Callithrix jacchus: one gene and its partner. The protein of the gene in region 2 interacts with the protein of the main gene of each other region in a biochemical or structural test. Links are inferred from orthologs where the notes say so. Each region holds a gene or a part of one and is shown on either strand. Other genes may lie near its edges.

Region 1 (7,689 bases), on a different chromosome or scaffold from region 2:
CTCAGGCCCCGCTTATTCCACTACTCTCTTTTCCTCCTTTGCCACCTACTTGTTTTAACATTCCTCTTTAGAAATAAAACCCCAAACTATCAGTATTGGTATACTTTCTGAAGATTTTTATCTTCACCTCCCAAGTATGAGAAGAGACTCAGTTTTCCTGCTTCCTCCTATTCCTTGCTGCCTCTGCTATGCTTCTTAGGGAATTTACCACTAATCTTTATGGGAGAATATGAAAATAACAAACATTGGAAAGTTACAGAGTTTTCATAATCTTAAAAGTTTCAGGTTGACTTCTTTCTGAGCTGGTAATTGAAAGTTGTTTGGATTTCTGCTGTTTACTTTTGTTCTTCAGGGTGGAGTCATCAAACCTCTTAATATTCTAACCTTGCCCTCAACCCGAGTGTCAGCTGGAGCACAGGCCCTCTTCCCACCCCTACTTTCCAGCACTTTCCCCAAGGTGACCAGGCTAGTAGTTTAAATCATCCTCTTCTCAAGCCAGTCATTTGCATTTCTGTGGATCCTCAGGCTAAGTGACAATGGTTTCACTCCTTCACTGGAAATCTGGAATTGGGCCATTGCAACTTGGAAGTAAAGGACATTTTTGTAGGAGAGAACTTAATTGGCAAAATAAGCTACGATTTTGAGGAGAAAGAGCAAAATCATCAAGATCATTTCAGTTGTATTCAAGAGCCAAAACATTGGTGAAAAAGTAGAAACGTCAAGAAATTCCCTTCAGACAGTTTATTGGTGAAAAGAAAGGCAAGAAGATGGAGATTGTGGTAGGGTAGAAGGAAGGTGGTTTTGCCAAAGGCCAGATATTTGGAAGGTTTAGGAAAAATCATCAGAGGTGAGGGTATAACACATCGTCTAAGAAAGAAATTATAATTACTAGAGCAAAATCCTGGTAGAGAGAAGATGGTTCATGTTTAGGAGCATATGTGGAGTATGAGCTTTGAAGAGAAATGTGGATACCCCTACTCAACCAGGACTGAAAGAGGTGAAGATGTATAAAAACTGAGACTGAGGTTTAGGAAAGTTAAGTTGAGGAACCTCATGGTGGATCCTTCATTAGAGTATGAGGCAAGATCATTTTGCAGAAGTGGAGGAAAACCACATAAAGTGGGGGCTTGAGGAGATCAGACATAGGACACGTTTGGAAGTGGCCCAGATAATGTTCCCGGATAAGTGTTCTGGATAATCATCCTCCTGATGAGGAAAGGAATTGAGAATCAGTGAAGACCAGCCAAGTTTGAATAGCATGAACTTTAAGAGGAATGAAGTGATCATTTAACCTTATCTAGCAATGCTTAGTAGTGCAGGAGCAAGTTGAAAAGAAAGCTTTCAACTAAATACAAAAATAAAGAAAATAATTAATGTTGAGTGACAACTTATTTCAGAGGACATATTCATGGTGGATTTTTAGTAACAATTTAATTATGACAAACATGAAATCTACAATGTCAAAATAATCATCTGAGAAAAACATACAAAAGACTATTGGAGTAATAATAAAATGAGCTTTTTTCTCCTTCTTTCTATGCTAGCCTAAGGCAAGAAAAAAGAAAAGACCCATTTTTCTTTCCATTAGACACATTTTCCATTCATTCGATGTGACTGAAATTTTTAAAAAAGCAAAATCATTGGTATCTTATTATTAAACATATGTCATATAACAATTTGCATTTTACTTTTTCTGTTCTATAAACAAACTCACATATTAAAAAGCCAGAAGAAGTCAAAAACAGCCTATTTTCATATAGCCAGGCATGACACAACACTTCCTGGCCTCTGCTGATCCCTTCCCAATTCTGAAAATATTTAGAGGGAACATTCACATGTTCACCTGTTTTGTTCCACAGTCCAACTCTGAGTAGGATTGTCAACTAAGTTGAAATTTTACCACAAATGTGGAGAGATTTTTTTTTTCCAATCAAGGCACCATATTAACATTTCTTAGGTTACATCTTTATAATCTTCAATTACAGTAAGATAAAAACCAGTAGCAAAGCATATCACCCAACTTAAAATTCAGAAGAATACTTAGACATATGCAACTTGCACACACATTAATCTGTTTCTCTCAACAAATTATTTGTAATTTTCAAAATCCTATCAGCTTTTTCACACAACATGGTCCCTCCAATGTGAGGTGCAGTAATATGTACATAGTCTCCTTACTAAAAAGATTAGTTGAAAAATAGTAAAATGACCAAAAAAAGGAACATAAGAATATCGGTGGTTATAGGCTAGAGCAATATCATATTTTAAAGCCTAATATGTTCATGAAATTTCACTTTAAGAAGGTGGTATCTAAATATAAAATTTATTGACAAAAAATTAGTATTGACAAACTAGCACAAGATTATTTTAAATGAAAGTAGAAGACATTATTAAAGCTCAAGATTTTTGTGTGTACTGATTTTCATGCCTCAGGTGATTTCTATATCAAATTTAAAGAGAACTGGAAAATAGAAAACAAAATCCATCAACTGTAATCCATTTCTCTTACTCTTTCGTGAAATCATCAGAAGGCATAAAGGATTGTTTCTGTTTCCTGTCTCTTTATCAAGCCTGTAACCCCTCAAGTGAAAGAACATGCACCTGTCAAGCTCGTAGTGCAGGATGTACACACAGATGTGTTTAATAGATATCTGCCCACGGGAAGATTAGAGGTTTGCTTTGAGAATCAGGGAACAGGCTATCTTATGTGGTGACGCTTTGGCATCTATCATACAATCCGTCACCTTCTCCCTTACCAAAATATCATCAAAGGAAATCCTCTTTGAGTCTTCTTTGAGAAGGGATATGAGTTTGAAGACCCAAAACGTTGAAACAAGACAGGAAAGGGGGAGTGGTTGCGGAGAACAAGCCCAAGTAGGATTCAAGTGGCTCAGTGACGTCAGGAGGAAGGAGCGATGGAAGGGATGGGGTGCAACTCACCTAGAGAAGCAGCAGCTGCACAAACGTCAAAGGTCAGAGCCTAGCCTCAGGGGCTCCCCAAACGCAGGAAAAGTGAAACGCCCACTCCTGGCTCTCACTGTCAGGGGTACGTCTAAGGGCTCAGCTGTTCCTACCTTTGATGCCAGGGACAAACCCTTCCAGGCACAGTTGGGGCTGGCAGGAAGGCAAAGTGAAACCTGCCCCAGATTTCAGAGCCAGCACTGGGGAATCTCCCTGTCCTCCTCTCCGCCACCCCCTCCCGCGCCCGCGACTTGAGACACCCTCATCCTCACACCCACCTTCTCCAGGCCCTCTCGCGCTGAACAGCATCGGTCTCTATGGCGACCTGAAACCGCAGCTCCTATTGGTCCGTTCAATATGAGGGCCGGGCCAATGGGGAGGACCAGCCCTCTCCTTCTGGCCAATGGGGTAGCGGAAGCAGGCCCGGGGACGGCGGCGTGCTGACGTTCCCGGGAGCCCGGGTCTGGCCGGGCGGGCTGGCGGCGGGGCGGGCGGCGGTGGCGGCGGCCTCTGGGCAGTAGAGGGGGCTCCGGGACTGAGTCCGCGTCGACGCCGGCCGCGGAGGCGGCACCATGGGCAAAGGGTAGAGGGGCAAGTTGGCCACCGCCGCCGCCGGGGGTGGTGGGATAGCCGCTCCGGGGGAGGGGGCGGGTGGGGGAGGGAGGGGCGGGCAGCCGCGCGGCCGCGGCACTTTTTTAATTTTTTTCGGGTGCCGCAGCGGCGACCCCTCGGCGCCGATGTCTGTGATTCCTGGAGCGACGACGGCCGCTGCCTAAGCTGGAAAGTAAGTGTGTGGGCTCGCGGGAGGGCGCGGAGACCCCTGCCGTTGAGACCCTCGGCCCTGCCGAACATGCGCCGGGGCCGGGACCTGCGCGCCGGAGGCCGGCGCCTCCCTCCCGCTGCCCCGTCCCCAGCGCCTCGGCGGCTTTCCTGCCCCGCCTCGTGTTCCTGCCCGCACTCGCCTGCTGCTCCCCTCCCCCCGGCAGGCACACAAGTTTCACCCTCCATTTGCTTTTTCCGGCGATTCCTCTCCTCGATCTCCCTTACGAGCCGCGCAGGACCCCTCTCCACGCTGGGCTCTACGGATTTGGAGCCCCCAGCCCCGAACTTGAGCTCCGCGCGGAGCCCTGCTGGACGCCCTCGCGGCGGCTTCCCCGCTGCCGCCCGCCCGGCGTGCCGCCCTGCGCCCCCGACACCCCGGGGCGCCCGCCCTCCCCAGCCCTCGAGACCAGCGGTCTGTCCTTCCAGCCCCAGATCCTGTACCTTGGCCCCTTTCCCGCCTTTCCACGCCCATGCTGCCGGCGCGCTCTTGCGTTTGCCCCCGAAGTCCTGCACTCCTAGTCGGTCCTGCCCACCCCCTCTGCCCAGTGCGTCCCTCTCTGCTGGCCGCCGATTTTCACGCTCCACCCCTCTCGGATCCCCAGCCCCTAGCCTCGCCGCTGCCCTCCTGCGCCGCCTCTTCCTCCTCTCCCTGCCAGGAGTTGAAGCGGAGCCGGGGCACCCCCCTGGTGGATTGGTATCCCCGCCCGCCTCCGAGGCAGCCGGCCCTCTCCCCTGGACCGCTACCCGGAGAGCGAGCGGCGGGGCCGGGATTTGGCTGCGTATTGGCTGAGTGCGACAAACCGCGAGCGCAGGCAGTGGAGGCGCCGCGGCGGCTGTGGCCGCTCGGGGCGCAGCGGTAGTCAGGTGTGTGTGTACAGCGGGGGACGCGCGCTGCCGGCTCCTGGGCTGGCGACAGATTGTGCAGGAATGCGAGGAATGCACCAGGGGCTGAGTCCACACGGCCCTCCGCGGCTACACTAGCGCCTTTCCTCCCCAGCTCTCGCCGCGCAGCCAGAGGTCACCGGAGCATCTTCAGAGCTGGTGAGCCTCATTCCACTCTTCTCCTCCCATTGCTTCCCTCCTTGCGGCAGAGAGGGTGGCGGAGGGAAAGCACGGTAGTTCTTTTGGGCTCCAGCTAGCCTTTCGTCTGGGTTTTTGCTGCATTGGTCTTCAGGACCGTGAATTTGGGGCCGATGACTGTGTAGCCAAGGTTATTGATCATTGCACAGCCTGTTTGCAAGTTTGGTGTGCAAGGATTAGATAGTGCCTGGTTTTTACTAGGGTTTTCTGAAAACCAGCAGGAATAGGGGGCCTGAAGGTTCTTGAGAGTAATGAGCTTGCAGCCAACATATTTTAGCTATACCAGAAAATGACTGTGCTAATGGATGGCCATGTACTGCAAGAAAGATCTTGAATGCATCACTTCGGTGTCCTAAGAAGTGTAATTTTTTTTCCTTGTCATACTGGGCTGTTTAGACCTCGTATAATACATAATGAATAGAAACAGAGAAGCAGTGTTTGGTCAGCGATGGGACAGATAGAACTGTCTGGTACAGTTAAATTCGGGGTGTGTCAGTTACCATTGAAAGTAACACGGGAACACCACAATCATGTGTATTTCAAGATGTAATTTATGAGTGGAGGTTTTAGTTCTCTTTGTTACTGAGTTTGACTAAAAGAAATGCTGCCCTACAACTTTTAAAGAATAGTAATTATTTACGTGTAAAATCGATGATGGTTAGTATGCATTTTGGTCAAATTTTGTTTTTCTCAATACAGGAAAGGAAATTTTTGACAGAAAATGGTTCGCTAGAATTGAGCTTAGATTCTTTTTATTTTAAAAGAGAAAGTAGAAGAATGCTTCCCTTCTTGAATGCAGTATATTGCTGTAGGAGTATCTTCGTTTTGATGTCTGTGAAACAGTTATGGAAAATGGCAACATGAGAATGAGAACAACTAATGTCTGAAATAAGTGTTTCTGGGTGTTGAAAAGCATCCTATGTGTGTTTTTATTTGATACAATTTGCTTTGGAGGTTGCATTTATGATAAATCTCTTTGCACCTGGTTATTTTGTAGCAGTTTCGGTAAAATAAGTCAGTTGTATGACCAATCAGCTGTCTTCCAACACCTACTTTGTCTAGATCAAGGACATTGAAAAGTATTAAATAGGAGCCTTTAGTTAAGGACTCAACAGAAAGGAAAAAATAGAAAAAAAAAAAATACTTTGCACTCTGAAAGGTTTATCTTTTGATTGCTACGTTGTTTTTCAGCTATGTGCATAATCAGTGAATCTTCTAATTAGAGGTTTAATTTGTGTCCACTAGCATGTGGAGGATATTGGGAGGTGTTTGTAAATGCCAACAGGAAACTTTTATTATGTAACAATATCATATTACAGCAGAGTTTAACCCATGCTTAACCTGTGCTTATTTGACTTGATGTCAAGATTAGGAAGTATAAGCAAATTCAGTTTCTCTGCCTCATTAGAAACCGAAAACTCTGTTCAGATATATAGATCTCACACACACACACACACACACACACACACACGATTGGCTGTGCAAATAGTTTTGCCTGCTTCAGGTAAAGGTAAGCTTTCAGTTAGAAATGCTTTCTATTTGTTATAGGTATACGAAGAGAGGAAGTTTTTCAACTGGTGATCCTTCACAATTGAAAATAACCAAAATTGTATTTTGACCAAAGTGCATTCCCTCCCCACCCCCTACTATTATGTAAGGAGAGGGTGCTGCATCTGGTGTCTTATATATTATACTGAAGAGTCTAATTTGGGGAAGCTAATTTTCCAATTATTTTAATTTTTGGTTATATTGTTTTTGGAGGGAGATAAGGGAACGGAGAGCATTGATGGAAAACAAGGGAAGAAGAAACTAGGGGTAGCTAGTATGCAACTAGAAAATAAAATTATATACATTATTGCAGCAATAATGCATTTATAAGCTAAAAAAATCAAATCTAATTTTGTGACTAGTTCTGACATAATATTAATTGAAGGAAAGTATTACCAAATTCAGTTTAATAAAAACTTTAGTACTTGTATGACCTTGAGTATTTGGATTAGGTTTATGTTAAATCAGAATTGCAGTTTTCTTTATTTTCTTGTAGATAGACAAAGCAAATTTAACGTAAAAATTTGACATTCACTTAGATTAATTTAAAAAAATTCAATTATTGACAATTTTTGGCCTAAATTTTTTAAAATTTTGAGTAATTTCCATGCTTTTACCCAGGGATGAATTTAAATGGTATTCATACCCTGGCTGATGCCAACCATCAGGTAAGTCTAGCCTCTTATCTGACTCTTTTGAAATATTAAGGTATTTTGAGAAAGCTTTGTAATCTAATGTGTTTAAAAAAAAATTTTTTTTTCTATTTCAATCAAGCAGTAATTCCCTACCTTGCTTAACTCTAAAATGGACATCCTATCTTCATTCTTAAATGGAAGATAAAGTAGAGGTTACTCTAGGGTTATTTTAGGGCATAAACACCTATGGAATTGTACGTCAGTTTGGGAAGTTTGCCTTCACATCTTAAAGTGTACAGGGAGATAATTACTCCTTCTATGTGTTAAATGATTCTGTAGTGCCCTTCCTGCACTGAAGGGGGAAGACTCTGAAACGTAACACCAGTGGACTAGGTATGTTTGGAGAATTAAGTAACTGTTTCACTGCCAGACAATACTACAGACAGCTGCAAATAGAGAAAAGAAGGAAAACTTTTAAAATACATGGATGTAAGGTTTCATTCTTACATCCATGGAAGTGATGATAGCAGTCAGCAGGTCAGTTTGATGCTCAGTGGTAAGAAATAATAGGGTTATTTCAGGGTAAGATAATCAGGCCCTTAGTAGCCAAGCATGGTAATTGATGTACTTGCTGGTTTCAGTT
Region 2 (7,203 bases):
TTCCTGTTATTTATCTTACAAATAGCCATATTCCTTTTTTTTTTTTTTGAGGTGGAATCTCACTCTGTCTCCCAGGCTGGAGTGCAGTGGCTCTATCTCAGCTCACTGAAACCTCTGCTTCCCAGGGTCAAGTGATTCTCCCACCTCAGCCTCAGGATTAGCTGGGATTACATGTACACCCAGCTAATATTTTTTTTTCTTTAGTAGAGACAGGGTTTCTCCATGTTGGTCAGGCTGTTCTCAAACTCCTGACCTCAAGTGTTCCACCCACATTGGCCTCTCAAAGTGCTAGGATTACAGGCGTAAGCTACCTCACCCAGCCAACAAATAGCCACATTCTTCACTTCTCATATTAAGTTTCTCAGTTAATTGACTTAGATTTTGATCTAGATTCTAAGTAGCATAATTTACAAATAAAGATAACTTTTGTTCTTCCCTTCCAAATGTAACTGTTTATTCTTTTCTTGCTATACTGTCTGATATCTCTAATGTAGTGATTTTCAACCACCATAATTGTGCTGGGGCAATTCTGTCATAACATTTTTTATTGTTATGACTGAGGGGGAGGAGTACCATTGTCATCTGATAGACAGAGACCAAGGATGCTGCTAAATATCCCACAAAGCACAGGACAACCCCTCACAATGAATTCTGGTTCCAAAAATGTCAGGAGTAACATTGAGAAACCTTGCTCTAAAGCAATGAAGCGCGGCACTGGTAAGAGGCAAACCTTGCTCTAAAGCACAGCAGTGGTAAGAGGCATCCTTGTCTTCTTTATAAATTAATGGAGGCTGGGCGTGGTGGCTCACACCTGTAATCTCAGTACTTCCGGAGGCTGAGACAGGCAGATAACCTGAGGTCAAGAGGAGTTCAAGACCTGGCCAACATGGTAAAACCCCATCTCCACTAAAGGTATAAAAATTAGCCAGCGTGGTAGCACCTATAATCCCAGCTACTCGGGAGGCTGAGGCAGGAGAATCACTTGAACCTGGGAAGTGGAGTTTGCAGTGAGCTGAGATCATGGCACTGCACTCCAGCCTAGCCAACAAGAGTGAAACGCCATCTCAAGAAAAAAGTTAAAATTAAAATTTAAAAATAAGTTAATGGACACACTGCTAGGATTTTATGATTATAAAATGTTTGCTATTGTTTCTGATAAGTAATCTTCACCATCTTAAGGAAAATTCCTCTGTTCCTAGTTCACTAAAATCTTTCATCCAAAAGAAATGGTGAATTGGCCGGGCATGGTGGCTCACACCTGTAATCCCAGCACTTTGGAAGGCCGAGGCGGGTGGATCACAAGGTCAGGAGATTGAAACCATCCTGACCAACACAGTGAAAACCTGTCTCTACTAAAAATACAAAACTCAGCTGGGCATGGCAGCATGTACCTGTAGTCCCAGCTACTGGGGAGACTGAGACAGGAGAATCACTTGAACCCAGAAGGCAGAGGTTGCAGAGAGCCAAGATTGTGCCACTGCACTCCAACCTGGTGACAAAGCTAGACTCCATCTCAAAAAAAAAAATAACAAGAAAAAAAAATTGAAGAGATGATGAATTTCACAAAATGCTTTTTCACATCTATTTGAGATGGTCATATCGTTTTCTCCTCTCGCTTGTCACTCAGTCTAGTGGACAGTGGCACAATCATTGGTTCACTGTAGCTTCCAACTTCTTGGCTCAAGCGGTCCTCTAGCCTTAGCCTCCCAAATACCAAGGACTATAGGCACATGCTAATTTTTTATATTTTGTAGAGACAGGGGTCTCACTATCTTCCCGAGGCTGGTCTCAAACCCCTAGGCTCAAGTGATCCTCACACTTTGGCCTCCCAAGTGCTGGGATTACAAGCATGAGCCACCGCACCTGGCCACCCTTAACTTTTTTTTCCTTTTTTTTTTTGAGACAGAGTTTCGTTCGTTACCCAGGCTGGAATGCAATGGCGCGATCTCGGCTCATCGCAACCTCCGCCTCCTGGGTTCAGGCAATTCTCCTGCCTCAGCCTCCTGAGTAGCTGGGATTACAGGCACGCACCACCATGCCCAGCTAATTTTTTGTATTTTTATTAGAGACGGGGTTTCACCATGCTGACCAGGATGGTCTCAATCTCTTAACCTCGTGATCCACCCACCTCGGCCTCCCAAAGTGCTGGGATTACAGGCTCGAGCCACTGAGCCCGGCTTAACTTTTTTTTTCTTTCTTTCTTTTTTTTTTGAGATAGAGTCTCCCTCTGTTGCCAGATTGGAGTACAGTGGCAAAATCTTGGTTCACTGCAACCTCTGCCTCCCAGGTTCAAGCAATTCCCCTGCCTCAACCTCCAAGTAGCTGGGACTACAGTCATGCACCACGTCCAACTAATTTTATAATATATATATATATTAGAGACAGAGTTTCACCATGTTGGTCAGGATAGTCTTGATCTCCTGACCTCATGATCCGCCCCCCTTGACCTCCCAAAGTGCTGGGATTACAGGCATGAGCCACTCTGCCTGGCTGACTTTTTATGAATCATATTTAAGAGATTTCTTAATATTGAGCCATCTTTAGTTTTCTGAAACAAACCCTATGTTATTCCCTTACAATGCTGCCATGTTTGGTTTGCTACTATATTGTTGTAAACTTTTGCATCTCTATTCAAAAGCAAAACTCTCCTTATTTTATGTTATCTTTGTGACCATTTGAACTGGCCTTACACAATGAAATGTGAAATCTTATATCTTTTCCTGTACTCTAAAAGAACAGAAAAATTATCTATCTTTTGAGAATTTCGTAAAATTAGTCATCAAACCACCTGGGCTTTGTGCCTTCTGGGGGAGAGATCGTTGACAATCTTCTCTAGTTCCTTATGGTAACTGATTTTTCCATCTCTTCTCCAGCCACAGCAAGGATCAGCGATTGTGGCTATTTCATGGGGAATATCTGAAGAAGGACAGCTACAGGGATGTCATGGGGCTGCATGTCATGGGGTTAAACAGGATGGGTCATGGGGAGCTTTGGCATTTGAAGGGCTCTCACAGGTTGTGATGTCTGGGGGAGCATAGCTGTCACTCAGGTAGGCATTGCTGGGCTTGGCCACCTTTAGGTAGACAACATCATACGTGTTCTTCAGGGCTGCCACAGCATCTTCATGCATGACATCCTCCAACCCCACACTGTTGACCTGGAGTCAAGGAAAGCAAAGTTCAAACAAAGCCACAGATGGCCCAAGACAGAGGGACTGGGGTGAAGTGATGAACTTGGGCCTGTCCAGGGCTAGTAGGTGAGACCCAGATCTGGGCTAGAAAATGGGCTAGATGGGGTCCTCACCGCCAGGATCTTGTCTCCAATCTGCAACCTCCCATCCTTGTGGGCAGCACCCCCTTCGATGATCTTTGTTACATAGATGCTATTATCTCCTGGGATGTGCTGGTTCCCTACGCCCCCTGCGATGCTGAAGCCAAGACCTGGATGGAGGGGAGGCCAGAGGTGGGTGCCCAGGTGCCCAGGAAGCAGGCTTTGGGGCACAGGACAGTTGGGATGAGGATGGGAACAAAATGAGTTGCTACCTTTAGGCCCTTTGATGAGCTTTATCTCCATGACCTTCTCAGCCGGGGGCTTCCGACGCATGACATAGAGGCGAACGATGGAGCCTGCCTCTTTGAGGGCCTCCACTGCCGCTGAGTGGGTCACCTCACGCACGTCCACTTCATTTACAAACAGGATGCTGTCGTTGACCCTGGGAACAACAAGGTGGGCCTAAGCCAAGGGCTTCCTGCTGCCCTGGCCCTCCCTCTCAAGGGACCAGCATCCTAACCCGTCTCCTCTCCCCACCTGAGGCGGCCATCCTGGGCCGCAGCCCCACCAGGAATTATCTTGGTGATGAAAATGGACGGATCGTCACCGATGTGTGGGTTGTCAGTGCCACCTGCGATGCTGAAGCCCAGACCTGAGTTACCCTGGATGAAGGAGGGGAAGAGGTCAGCTCCCCTCACTGCCCAATTCTGGCAAGGTAAGTGGGGTGGGAAATGGCTTGGAGAGTGGTAGAGAGTGGCAGCCAGAGCAGGAAGGGACAGGATGAGGGGCTGACCATACAGACCACATGGGCATAAAGAAAGGTACAGATCAGGAGCTAAGGGGACCACTGATGGAGGAGCCTGCTCACCCTTTCCAATGTGATCTCCTCGTATTCCATCTCCCCCTCGGTCCCGTTCACCTGCAACTCCAGCACGGGATAGAAACACAAAAGCAGTGAGACAGACATTCCCGCCTGACAACCTGCCTGTCATCTGCTGCCCTCCCTTACTCCCTCCTTTCTTCTACCATGGTCCCAGCCCCAAAATCTAAACAACTCACATATCCTGGGGCTTCTAGGGTATCTGTGTTGACAATCACAGGGGGAGAATTGGCCTGTTCGGGGAAATAAGAGACAAAAAGCCTCCTGAGCCTTGACTCAAGAGGGAGCCCGTAACGGAGGTCCCATCAGCGTGGCTACCCCTTAGCCTCTCAGCCAAGCCCACTCCCCCACCCTGAGAGCTGCTCAAGGACCCAGCCTCAATGCACACCACACAGGCCCACGCGCACACACATACCACAGATGCACATACACACCACTCTAACTTTGCCCAGCCCAGGCCCCCTGCATGTGGAAGGAGGTGTAAGAAAAGCGGGAAGGGAGACAGCCAGACAGAGAGGGGAGCAGCAGATGGCAGAGTGGGGAGAGGGGGGTAGGCTTGGGGGAAGGGAGCTTCTCACCGGATGTAACACCACATGCCTTATATGCTACACACGGACACCCCAGGGCTCAAGTCCACCGGCTCCTGGTCCCACTTCCTGCTCCATCCCCCCAACCCCTCCATATCTACCCAAATATCTTCATAACCCTCCCCTAGACTTGTCCCTCACCTTCACACACATTTGCCCTAAACCCTGCGCCTCGGGAATCCGGGGTTTCCCCAGCTGCAGGCCCCTCCCTCGGTCTCAGCTACCAGCCGTCCAATCCACCCCTTCCTCTAGGGACCGTGTTGCCTAGCAACGGTATCTAGGACCAGCCAAGACCCGGGGAGACCCACCTCCAGGAGGCCCTGTCGTCAGGACAACAGGGGGGTGGGGCGTGGCCTGAGGCCGACCAGGCTCCCGAGTGCAGAAGGGATCCGCTAACCCCGCCTCTCCTGCCCTGGGCCCCGCCCCGCGTTAGCCAGGCCGAGAGGAGGCCAGGCTGAAGAGGTTTGAGGGTGCAGCGCATCCTGAACAACCTGCCTTCCTCTCTCCCCCACGCCCCTCACCCTATGCAGTGCAAAGGACGTCAGGAAGGAGGCGTGGAGAAAGACATCCGGGTCCTATACCCCTCCTCTACTCCCTCCCCCTACTTCTTTCGGGGAAAGGGTTAAAGTGGGGCGTGCCCAGGTCCCTGACGTCAATTGCCTGGTCTCTAGACTCCCAGGCGGGGCCAGCTTTAGGCTGGTCCTAGGGGCTTCCCCAATTGCCTGGGCAACCGAAGCCACGTCTCTATGGCAATGAGGAGAGGCCGCCAAGAGCCTCCTTCCGGGGTCCCCAACCTACTTCCTTCTTTAACAGGTGTTTGCAGCCGCCCAACCGCAAGGATTCCGCACTCTCCTTCCCGCTCTTCCCGTCCAAAGGGGTCCCTCCCGTCTCCTACTGCTATTTCTCAATCCTACAAACTACCGACCATTTCAAGCTGTATTACAGATTTCGCACCCATAAATCTGTTAACACCGCCCTCTAACCCTTCACATCTCAGCAAATGCTGTTGCCCAACCAATAGCCACTGACTGCCAAAATCTCATCCACATGTTCAGCCCATTGTCAATCCCCATCCCCATCCCTATCCTGGAACTTCCTTCCCAGCACACCCTTCTTCATCCACTACGACACTCATTTGCTTCCCATCCCTATCTCTGCCCGCATCCCACATGCTCCATCTACATCCCTGTCTCACCCTTCAACATCCAACCCCATCTTCCAACCCCAGCCTCTATTCTCCATTCGCTTCCCTGGCCCTATCGCACCCTCCAGCCCCATCCCTTACCAATGTCGTGGCCTCATCCTCCATCCCAAATTCTTTTTTTCCCCCGAGACAGGGTGTTGCTGTGTCACTCAGGCTGGAGTGCAGTGGTGTCATCATAGCTCACTGATGCCTTGAACTCCTGGGCTCAAGTAATCCTCCTACCTCGACCTCCTGAGTAGCTACAGGCACATGCCACCTCACTCAGCTACTCCATCTCAATTTCTGATTTCCCAGAGAATTTGTCACCATTCTCCTTTACCCTACCTTCATATCAAGATTATTCTCAAGTGAGAATCTTTCACTCCTCAATCCACTCCCTCTCTCTTCTGAAAATTGAGGCTTCTTCTGTCCCCCAGCTGCCGCCTTGTGCTGGAACCTCCACCCCATGCTTATGGCCTCTAGCAATTCTCTCCCTCTACCCTCTTTTGCCTCCTGAGCTCTGTACTAACTACCATTCCTACCACCAGCTCCCTACCCTTCTCTTCCCCCTCCTCAGAAATCTAATGGCCCTACCTTGCAAAAGAGCATCTCTAGTCTTCCTTCCCTCACTCCTAGCCACCACAGAATTCGCACAAACACTCTGTACCATCCCTGTCTCCAGGGCCTTCCTTTCCTAGCTCTGTCAGCTCCAATTCACTGCCCTGATCTCACAGTCTTATCTCTATCTGGCCCCTGCCCCAGGACCTCTTACCCTTCCTATCCCCCAACTCCTCTCTTGCCAGTTCTCACTCCAGAATCTGCTTGGCTGCTCCCTAGGCTCAGACACCTCCTCTTCATCTTCTTGGTGAAATGTCAGCAAGTTAGCAACCTCCCCCTTCCCAGGCCATGCCACAACATCCTAGAATCCCCACCCTGACCCCACGGTGTCCCCTCAATCTCACAGCTTGCCTGGTGCACTCCATTCCTCCCCATCCTGTGTCCCCAGAAGAGGAGATGGAGGGAAGGGAAGATGGAAAGGGGACTGGAGAATGGAGAGGCCAGAAACCAGGCCTCTAAGGGCTGGAGAGGGGAAGACCCTGTGAGCCCAGAAGAGAAAGGGAAACAGGTGGTGAGGGATGATGGAAGGGACAGATGGGGACAGAAAGAAGATACAGCAGAGGTGAGAATCCAAGAGGATGAGAGAGAGGAGCAGGAAAAGAGAGAAGGTGAAGACGAATAGGCAAGAGGGAACGTGGGAAAGGGGAGCCAGCTGACGGAGGCAG

What was found. The genes of interacting proteins can lie anywhere in the genome.
Region 1: the proteins of DLG4 (region 2) and PKP4 interact in a test that uses a peptide from one of them, tested with the Homo sapiens proteins (2 studies listed by IntAct, with this or other methods). The link is inferred for Callithrix jacchus from reciprocal best matches to the Homo sapiens genes DLG4 and PKP4.

Annotation. Positions count from the first base shown.
Region 1 is NC_133507.1:71,435,229-71,442,917, reverse strand, and holds the start of PKP4 (plakophilin-4), read left to right. Parts: upstream 1-3,424; 5' UTR 3,425-3,745; intron 3,746-4,224; exon of another isoform or gene 4,225-4,361; intron 4,362-4,415; exon of another isoform or gene 4,416-4,824; intron 4,825-7,689. Other genes in the region: CCDC148 (coiled-coil domain-containing protein 148), read right to left, coding at 2,941-2,955, 3,240-3,270. UniProt on the Homo sapiens protein: Plays a role as a regulator of Rho activity during cytokinesis. May play a role in junctional plaques.
Region 2 is NC_133506.1:73,691,129-73,698,331, forward strand, and holds part of DLG4 (disks large homolog 4), read right to left. Parts: intron 5,266-7,203; exon of another isoform or gene 4,891-5,265; coding exon of another isoform or gene 4,879-4,890; intron 4,384-4,878; coding exon 4,330-4,383; exon of another isoform or gene 4,329-4,329; intron 4,198-4,328; exon of another isoform or gene 4,196-4,197; coding exon 4,139-4,195; intron 3,933-4,138; coding exon 3,808-3,932; intron 3,713-3,807; coding exon 3,543-3,712; intron 3,441-3,542; coding exon 3,304-3,440; intron 3,158-3,303; coding exon 3,013-3,157; intron 1-3,012. UniProt on the Homo sapiens protein: Postsynaptic scaffolding protein that plays a critical role in synaptogenesis and synaptic plasticity by providing a platform for the postsynaptic clustering of crucial synaptic proteins.